Nothobranchius furzeri: one gene and its partners. The protein of the gene in region 1 binds, or shares a complex with, the protein of each later gene. Links are inferred from orthologs where the notes say so. Each region holds a gene or a part of one and is shown on either strand. Other genes may lie near its edges.

The links. Proteins that work in one complex are often made in the same cells at the same time.
Region 2: polr3f (region 1) and crcp share a complex: the UniProt entries of both Homo sapiens proteins name them as parts of the RNA polymerase III complex. The link is inferred for Nothobranchius furzeri from reciprocal best matches to the Homo sapiens genes POLR3F and CRCP.
Region 3: polr3f (region 1) and polr3k share a complex: the UniProt entries of both Homo sapiens proteins name them as parts of the RNA polymerase III complex. The link is inferred for Nothobranchius furzeri from reciprocal best matches to the Homo sapiens genes POLR3F and POLR3K.

Annotation. Positions count from the first base shown.
Region 1 is NC_091746.1:29,572,771-29,575,584, reverse strand, and holds the end of polr3f (DNA-directed RNA polymerase III subunit RPC6), read left to right. Parts: intron 1-1,641; coding exon 1,642-1,749; intron 1,750-1,820; coding exon 1,821-2,012; intron 2,013-2,083; coding exon 2,084-2,161; 3' UTR 2,162-2,276; downstream 2,277-2,814. UniProt on the Homo sapiens protein: DNA-dependent RNA polymerase catalyzes the transcription of DNA into RNA using the four ribonucleoside triphosphates as substrates.
Region 2 is NC_091750.1:56,809,960-56,813,718, reverse strand, and holds the start of crcp (DNA-directed RNA polymerase III subunit RPC9), read left to right. Parts: upstream 1-925; 5' UTR 926-1,040; coding exon 1,041-1,048; intron 1,049-1,829; coding exon 1,830-1,866; intron 1,867-1,962; coding exon 1,963-2,061; intron 2,062-2,147; coding exon 2,148-2,242; intron 2,243-2,354; coding exon 2,355-2,412; intron 2,413-3,759. UniProt on the Homo sapiens protein: DNA-dependent RNA polymerase catalyzes the transcription of DNA into RNA using the four ribonucleoside triphosphates as substrates.
Region 3 is NC_091745.1:3,876,616-3,879,893, forward strand, and holds polr3k (DNA-directed RNA polymerase III subunit RPC10), read right to left. Parts: upstream 1,840-3,278; 5' UTR 1,697-1,839; coding exon 1,586-1,696; intron 1,475-1,585; coding exon 1,387-1,474; intron 970-1,386; coding exon 842-969; 3' UTR 572-841; downstream 1-571. Other genes in the region: snrnp25 (U11/U12 small nuclear ribonucleoprotein 25 kDa protein), read left to right, coding at 2,166-2,387. UniProt on the Homo sapiens protein: Core component of RNA polymerase III (Pol III) which synthesizes small non-coding RNAs using the four ribonucleoside triphosphates as substrates. Can mediate Pol I proofreading of the nascent RNA transcript.

The DNA of each region.
Region 1 (2,814 bases):
AAATAATTTACTAATGTAAAAAAAGCAATATATCAAATATTTATCATTTCTATGGATTTAATAACTGAACACTTTAAGAAATCTCCACTTTCCGACTGCTGGCGCTCATTTTCTCACCGTCTTCGTCGCGCTCTCCCCTCTCTCTCTCTCTCTCTCTGTCTCTGTCTCTGTCTCTCTCTCTCTCTCTCTCTGTCTCTGTCTCTGTCTCTCTCTCTCTGTCTCTCTCTCTCTCTCTCTCTCTCTCACCTTTTTCCTCCTCCTCATTCCCTCTCGTCTCCCTCCACCTGCATGTGCTCTGCTGTGTGTCTGAGTCTGATCCTCCCTCTTCCCCGCCCCTACTGCTCTGTGTGTGGACAGTCTGGACACACAGTTACACATGCTGACCAATCGCCTGTAGCTTTCACCAAAGCAAGAGGGAAGGGGGGGGGGGGGGCACGGCTCCCAATGATGAGCCGGCTCTTAGGGCCGGTTCGTTCGCGACCGACACATCACTAGCTGGTACCATATGATGTCACAATGTTGTTGTGAGCCTGTGTGTGTGTGTATTAGTTAGCGGCTCCGCCCTCTCGGTCTGCTAGGCAACAGCATTTGTTGCATTTTTCAAACAGGAAGTGGGAGTGGAGTTAGACTCTGGTAGGGGGTGACTTGCTCTTTAAGTTAAACTAAATGAAGCCTTTTAATGATCTTGGCTTAGCAGCAGCATCATAGCAACAAACCTCTCATCCCCGAGACTGAACTTTGGGTATCCGTGGATGTGCCTGACTTTAAACCGGCCTGAAGGATCTCTCTCTCTCTCTCTCTCTCTCTCTCTCTCTCTCTCTCTCTCTCTCTCTCTCTCTCTCTCTCTCTCTCTCTCTCTCTCTCTCTCTCTCTCTCTCTCTCTCTCTCTCTCTCTCTCTCTCTCTCTCTCTCTCTCTCTCTCTCTCTCTCTCTCTCTCTCTCTCTCTCGTCGTCTTCACCTACTCCTTTGGGGTGAACTGAACTCAGTTATGGACCCTCTACAGCTCTGTGGTAGCGTCTGTTGTCCTTTTATGAGGTTTATTATGTTTGGTGGAAGTGTAGAGAGGGTCAAGGGGACATTAATCAAGCTGGTCAAGAGGGAAAGGGCAGTCCAGCACTGTCCCTTGAGGTGTGTGGAGCAGGTTTGAACCCCACCCCCAGACAGCGGGACAGACAGACAACTGAATTGTCCTCTTACTCTGTTTTTGTTATGAGAGCGCTGGAACAGCCGTGTGGTAATAAAAGTTTATTCAGGTCATTACGGACCACCAGAGGGCAGCAGAGATCTCCCTCCTGAAGGTCCACTGACCTGACCTCATGTCTCTGAGCTCAGTTCCTTAGTAAGGCATTATGGGATGTAAGGATCTTATCTTTTAAAAGAGGTCTTAAAGAAACGATGGAAGCTCTTTAACCGTGAAGCTTCAGCCAGCCTCCATCAATACTCCTTTGAGGTTCTTCTGGGTCATTTTGTTCTGTTGGGGAACCCTCCCGACGACAACAACTGTTGGACCAGAACCTGATAGTTCTGCCAAATGACCAAATGATCGGATCAGAACCCATCCTCTGGGTTGGTCTGGATGATGCTGTTCAGGAACAGGTGGGTTCTGGTCATGTGACCGTCGTGGTGTTCCGTGTGTTAAGGCTGACGCAGCGAGGGACAGCAATCAGAGCCCGATGGTTCAGCGGAACAGCTCCTTCGCCACCTCTCATGAAGTGTGGAAGTACATCTGCGAGCTTGGAATTAGTAAGGTGACTGCTAACGTCCACCAATCACACATCACGCTCGCTGTAGTCCGTGTGTCTGACAGGTGTGTGTCCAGGTGGATCTGTCCATGGACGACATCGAGACCATTCTGAACACGCTCATCTATGACGGGAAGGTGGAGATGACCGTGATTGCCGCCAAGGAGGGGACGGTGGGCAGCGTGGACGGGCAGATGAAGCTGTACAGGGGCGTGAACCCCATCCTGCAGCCCACCGGCCTCGTCAAGACGCCCTGCGGACTCTGCCCGGTAACCACACTCATTAACATGGCTGCATCCTGCTCGTGGACGCGCCTGAACTCACCTGATCCTGTCTGCAGGTGTTTGATGACTGTCATGAGGGAGGGGAAATCTCTCCGTCCAGCTGCATCTACATGACCGAGTGGTTGGACTTCTGATGGCTATTCGGCCCACTTCTTTTCTCTGTGAGGAAACTTCATTCAGCCTGCTGTGATCCACAGTTTTTCTTTTTTTTATTTATCAGTCTTAATAAAGCAGCTCGTGTGAACCGTTTGATGCTGAGATGAGTTATTGTTCAGTCTGGTGTAAAATCTGCAGGAATCTTGGACTGTCTCTCTGACAAATGAAGATGGATGAAATCCCACCATCTCCAACTCCACCTCTCTAAAACTGAACTACTTGTCATCCCAGTGAAACCATCCATACAGCACAATATCTCAATCCAAAATCTATATCTGGCGCCTTCAAAGGCAGTTCGAAATCTGGGTGTTGTGATTGATGAACACCTGACCTTTAAAGATCATGTTGCCTCTGTTGCTCGTTCATGCCGCTTTGTGCTGTATAACATACGAAAGATCAGACCATACCTAACACAACATGCCACCCAGCTCCTGGTGCAATCTACCGTCATCTCCCGCCTCCATTACTGCAACGCCCTTCTAACTGGTCTTCCAGGCTGCACTGTGAGACCTCTTCAAATGGTCCAGAACGCAGCGGCGCGTCTGGTCTTCAATCAGCCTAAAAGAGCACACGTCACCCCTCTGTTCATTGAGCTCCACTGGCTACCGCTAGCAGCACGCATCAAATTCTA
Region 2 (3,759 bases), on another chromosome or scaffold:
AAATCACCTGGTACACACGGACAAGTCTACAGGACACACAGATCAGTTTACAAGTACAAAAATTATTAGTCAATTTAGGGTTGGGCATCGAGCATCGATTGGAACGGGGACCAACTGTTAGTTTTTCCCGGAATCGTTCAAATTTTTTTATTTAGATTCCAAGTTTCGATTCCTAGAATGCCGACGGAAGAGGAATCCGCAGCTGATCTCCGTGAAAAATAAACGTGATCTACCAACGCTTTTCAGATCTGATCACACCAGCTTTCTGTGTGCAGTACCGAGTCCCCCCTCCCCCCACCTGGCGCGCAGCGGCCAAATATAAACAAACGTGTCCGCCGAACTTTTACTCCGTAATGTAAACTTTAACTCCTGCAGCGTAGAGGAAACGTGTTAAAATCATCAACACGGTGGATTTAATAGAAGCTTTAAAGAACAAACTCTGGACGGCGTGAGGTGAGTTTGTCTCACTGCAAAAATAAAAACACACACGGAGCGTCAGCAGTCAGACGCAGCCGCTCACCAACACTCGTGTGTGTGCGTGCGCATCAGAAGGCTGAACAATAACCTGTAGAATAAAGTCTTCATGTTAGAGAAGCTTCTCAGTGGTGGACCACACCAGCTTCTGCCACAATAAATACTCATGATAATACTAATAAATCACACACAAAGTTGTGAACATTTTAATTTCCTTTCTGAACTATTTCTGTTGAGTATTTTAATGTTTAAAATCTGTTAGATTAGGAAATCTGGCTCAGCTCCCTCTTCACCACGACAGATCGGCTCACTGCAGACGCCGAACCAATCCGCCTGTCGATCACACACACACACACACACACACACACACACACACACACACACACACACACACACACACACACACACACACACACACACACACACACACACACACACACACACACACACAAGCAGACCTTTCGAGACTTTTTTCTCCCCTCACATTTGTGTCGGCGGAACCTTTATCCATGCTCTCCGTTTCCCCACGGAAGGTGTAACAACGTACCGCAGTTCCGGGCGCATAAATGGAAGTGTAAGGATTTCATTTTTACCTTTCATTTAGTTTATTTTAGCAAGAGACTTTGCTAAGTAGCTGTTGTGAATTGTGTTTTTAACAACAACTATAAGCCGTAGTTTTCAGTTTTTGGTTTATTATTGATGGATGAAAGCGAACAGAGCTAGCGAAACAGCAGAGACACATTTTCAGTTCGGTCTGGGACGAAAAACTGTTCATCCTAGCTTATTAAAATTTAAAAACAAAAAACGAGTCAGTATTAACCATTAAAGCCAAACAACACGGTCCTTTTGTTATGACTGAAGACTTTTTTTCTAAAGTCTTTTTAATTCTTTTAAATGAAACTTTTAGCTGATTTTTATTTATTTATTTTTACTAAACGATTCGTAAATGGTCAGAATAATATTTTACTCTCGACTGCATTTTTATAGGTTTAATTTCTTAACCCACATGGAGACAAAAAACGCATTAATCATCTTAACTGTTCATTCCTCTATATTCCGAGTTGATGGTGGACAGGGGACAGCTCTCTAGTCCATCACAGAGACACATGCACTCACTCACAGGTAGAGACAACTTAGAGTCAACAGTTAACCTGAGATGCATGCGTTTGGTCTGTGGGAGGAAACAGAGTATCCATACAGAGAAAACACGCATGCAGTGGAGAACTCCACAAAGGCTGCAGCTGGAATTCGAACCTGCAACCTTTTCGCTGTGAGGCAGCAGCACCAGCTCCTCCCTTCCATGCAGCTCATAACAACTACATCAATTCAAAACTTTCAACTTTTTGTGTTTTCAGCAAAAATTCAAGTGCTGCAATGCTCAGCAACTATGAGGTAATATAGTCGGTTTACCCTCGCATGACGTGTTATTCACTGTTCAGTCAAACAGATCAGTTTGTAACTTTTACTTTCTTTTTTTTTACTGCTCAGGTGTTCAAACTTCTCATAGATCTGAAGGAACAGAGGAAAGATGGGGGGAAGAGCAAACACAGTGCCGGGCAGCAGAACCTCAACACTATCATGTATGAGGTCAGGTCACATCTCTCTTCCTGCATTTATATAAATGTTTTGGTCATATTTATTACAAACATAATCTCCTGTGGGTTCGCCATCAGACACTTAAGTACCTGTCGAAGACGCCGTCCAGCAGACAAAGTCCTGAGATTGTCAAGGAGTTCCTCACCACCATGATGCCCCACAAACTCACAAAGTCAGTGAGATCTAATAAACATTTTATTTTGATTTAGTTGTGTTGATACGATGGACATTGTCTTAACATTTAGCCTTTTTCTGTTAATCTGATTTGTTTTTGTCATCATCAGGGCAGAAAAACTTCAGCTGTTGAACCACCGACCTCAAACTGCAGTAGAAATTCAGCTAGTGAGTCTCGTTAAATTTGTTAAAATTTGTGCAAAACGCAACCCAACCTACCAGGCTACCAGTAATAACCGGTGAAATCCACAGTAGCTCTGCCTGCCAGCTCTGCAGTTTCTTTAATCTTTGATTGAGAAATATTAAATAGCATTCAGACCTAGACTGAGTAAAAAATAAACACACACTGTGGAAATTAAATGTTTTTGTTGAATCAAGACACCCAAAACAGAATTTAAACTTTAAAAATGTATCGCAACACAAGGAAAATATTATTTTTTTAATTTTAATCACGCTAAGAGTTTGGTGCGTGGCATTTGAACTAGCTGCTATTTTATCCTTTGTTAATTATAAAAAAGTGGTTCTTTTAAAGGTGTGGAACACTTTTAGTGAATATTTCTGATTATAATCGGTCTCTGAGTTTTTCATGCAGGCTGAACATGAAAATAGTCTCCTACGTCTATCTGCTGCATTAGCTTCGGATGGAAAATAGACGGTGAAACTCTAGGATTAGAAAAGCCTGACAGATCTAAGTCACACTGTCACTTAACATTAATGGACTCACTCATCTTGATTCATGACGGAGAAGGCTGTTGTTGGCTTAGCGTCCAGGAAACGGCAGAGAATGTCTCAGCTAGTAGAAGCTAACCATTAGCAACTCCACCACACAGCAAAAGCTCCTCCAGGCTTGTGTTACTTGTGGAGATGATAATCAGTGGTAGAGTCGCATTGCTGTTGTAGTGTATCGATAGTTACATCTCTTACGTAGGAAACCATCAAAGGTGAGATTCCTTAGAAAATATGGAATCAATTTGATGTATCTTTGAATACTACCTTTAATCAGAAGATATGAACTTTTTATTGCAGGGATTAGGTAATAATTTGTAATAACCCAGAGTCAAAGAGAGAGACAAGTTTTAAAGTTTAAGAAGATTTATTTCTAAACAATTTAAAACAAGGCTAACTCTAACTTTAACTCTAAAGCTTGGTTTATGCTTGACGCATTCACTTTCCGCTTGGTGATGCGGCTCGCGGATGGAACGCGCTTCACAACTCGCAGCGTTTATGGTTCGTGCGGCTTGTCTCTGCGGTGAGCCAATATTCTCCCAAACTGAACGGGGCAACATGGAGCTCTACGGCATGCATCTAACACTACACCATAGTAGAAGTAAAAATTACTATTTACAACATGGCATTTCAGCATTTTTAACAGCGTCCTCGTCTTTTCTGACAGTGCGAGCTATTTCTCTCCAAGAATGATTAACAACATGTTGATCACGGTGATCTTTGAGAGCTAAATCATACAAATGTCTGTATTTACGAACCTCTGCCATACTAGTTCTAGCCGGTCCGCCA
Region 3 (3,278 bases), on another chromosome or scaffold:
GCCCTGGTCGGCCTGAAGCAGACCCCCTCGAGAAGAGGGCTGAGAATGAGCCTTGGTTGGCCCGGAAAAATACCAGGCCACCCAGATATGTAAACAACCTACGCTACCCGGCCCGGGCCGACCCGGTACAGATGGGAATGGTCCACAAGTGTACTGAAGGCGATAGACAAGCTAATCACTTAAAAACGAAAGCATGACATCTTGGTGTGTGTTTTTCTGTCAGGCTCATGCAGCACCATTTCAGATTTAGCTGATCTTAAGAGGTTTTAAAAACTGAGTACTAAGCCATTAAGGATTCACCTAAATGAAGGTTCTTCGCTTAGATGAAATGAAATACATTTGATTAGTGAGATTTTAATGAGCTTCATGAAGTTGTTGAATTAGACCTTTTGCAAAAGTGATTCTGAACACTAACAGTGAATCATCTCAGCATGTGGGATACATCAGCCACTAATGCTTCTCGCAGTTTGCCTGGGCTATACCTTTAGTAATAATCATTGATGTGCTCCGACTCTGTGCATATTTTTTTCCTCAAGACTGAAAAATCTGTGCAAAATATAAAACAAAAAAACACATTTTGTGAAGGATTGTAATGGAACTTTAGTCATGTTGTGAAAACTGCTGGTCTGCATCGCTCCAGATGTCTGATGTACAACTATGTACGCAATTTATGTGACTGTACACAGGCGCTATTTTACCAATAAAAATCATGAAGTAAACACTTTGTCATGTGGAACATTTATCACAACTGGAAAGTAAATGGTGCAAATAAATACAGAAGAAAAGGAAAACCAGGCCAGAAATCATCTGAACATTTGAAATAACTACAAGTAGAAAACTTTCAGTCTCTCCATCGATGTCCACACTGGGCATTACAGCATTTGTAGAAAGTTGTCATGGGTTCATCAGCAGATCTGGTCTGAATCTGCATGAAATACGCCCGAGGATGCTCACACTTGGGACATTTTTCTGTACAGAGATAGAGAAGGAATATGTCAGCTTAGAGGCCACACCGGTATGTACCATCTTATACCCCAAATACCTCTGGTATGTCCAGGTTTTAGTTTAAGAATGTTAATCTTAAGAAATCACTAATCCTGTTTAAGGATCATGAATTGTTTTAAGGAGATAAATAATAGTTTATTAAGCATCTAGCCAATTCTACTATGACCTAAATAAAGATACAGGATATCAGGATTGTTGAATGGTTTGGCTTGAACAAAAAGAAAAACTGAAAATCCTGGATTAATCCGTTTGTATAATTGAAAATTGGAAGTACACTTTTCTCATTTTAGGCGTTAAAACACTTTAATTACTTAACTAAAACTAAAGAATATGCTAAACATTTGTATGCAGACTCCAGGAAGTCATTTTAATGTTATTTACCTGCAGTTGAATCCACGTTCTCCCACGCAGCAGCCCCACCGAGAACATCATCCACCTCCTTTAATTTGGGATACTTTCGGTTGTTTACCTTCAAGAGAAATAAAACAAGACCTTAAACTTACAAACCTAACGACAAATATTTTGTGTTTCTGACACCAACTAGATGATGAAACCTGGTTTAGTTACGGGTGACTCCTACCTTTCTTGTGATGTTGTGTATGTAAGGACAGGTGTTACACGCGAACCTCATACACTTCTGTCCTTCTTCTACGATCAAAACGTTTCCACAGGTAGGGCAAAAGAGTAGCATTTTAAATGTAATCAATTTGGTCGCAAACCATCAACTAAATGGAATCTAAATGTGATTTCACCAGAAACCATCTGCTGCGTAGAGAAAACCGGAAGTCGACTGATGAAAACAGCTCGAACGGAAACAACCGGAAGTCGCTAATCGTTTAAACAACATGCCTAATTGTATGTAAACAATTCTATATTAAAATGAATGTTATTAATTTATGATAAGAATACGTATTTATCAAATGTTAACGCAGCTGTTCATTTTTATTTTCATCAAGTGGAACCTTTTACATAAGGTCCATTTCCGTTCCGGTAGTTTGTTTGTACTGCACACAGTTACATACGGGCTTTTGCTGTTCTAATTCTTCTTTTTTAGCAGCAGTTTTGAAGTAAACCTGTAATTGTTGTCCAGGTAAATTGTATCCAGACGACGTTTTCTAGCAGGAAACCCGGAAGGTACCCAATAGCTGGATGATTATCGGATGGAGGAGGAGCAGAGTCCAGGTTCTGCTGTAGTCAAAGGAGGTGAAGGAGCGCAACTAGTGCAGGATGAGGAGGTGAAAAAGGAGAGCTTCCTAAACGAGGCAGCTGCTGAGGAGGAGGACGATGAAGATTCTCTCCCTCACTCTGAGATCCTGGATATTTTTGAAGAAGGACTTGCTCGACTTGTGCAGGACCCTTTACTCTGCGACCTGCCAATCCAGGTGTTATTTCTGAGTGCCCTCAGTTACTCTGAAGGAAAACGTGTGTTGTCACCTTTATTTGAGATTCACTCATTGGAGCTGGTCTATTTTATTTTTAAAGTCCAATGACGATTGTAGAAGATATTTGGGCCAGGATTATACTTTTGTAGGATTTAGTAAATCACACTGTTACAATATCGTTGGGTATTGCGATGACGATAACAGTTGTGCTAAATCCTCATTTTCCTCACTCTGTTACCACACATCACTCACCACTGGTGTGTTTTCAGCAATAGCATTAAGGAGATTCAGTCACATGAACATGTCCCCATCTACTGTGAATCAAGCTGTTTTTGTGTGCCACTGAAGCAGTCACAGTGATGATGTTTTGTGATACATTGTGCAGCTTTTGTTACTTTAGTCAAAAGTTTGGACACACACCTCACCTGCAATTTCCAAACAGTCTATTTAGATACCTATTAAAACTCAAATGGATCCCATTTGCACTACAAAGTGTTTATGAATCAATTTGCAAGCTTCCAATGGAGTAAAAACAGCAGATCACTGCATATTACAGTTTTTATTAGAGCAAAGACAAAATTATCTCCCCAAAGTCCTTGCTGATGTCTCTTCTTGCTTGTATGTTAAAGCTGTGTGATTTGTACTCTGTCCTAATATTGGTTACACAAGAGGACAGCAGTAGAAGTATTAGCTCACGTCTACCTTGTGCATTTTGTTAGGTCAATAAAGTATATTCAAAATATTTCACTGTATTTTGCTCAACTTGTCAAAGTATTTCCAAATTTAAGACCAGCAATAAATCTTCATAATCTAACAGCAAGTCCTCTCAGGGTTGTGAGCTTTTCTAGATGATGATGGTCTGATGTGTGCAGAGAAATGGTAATCGGTGGC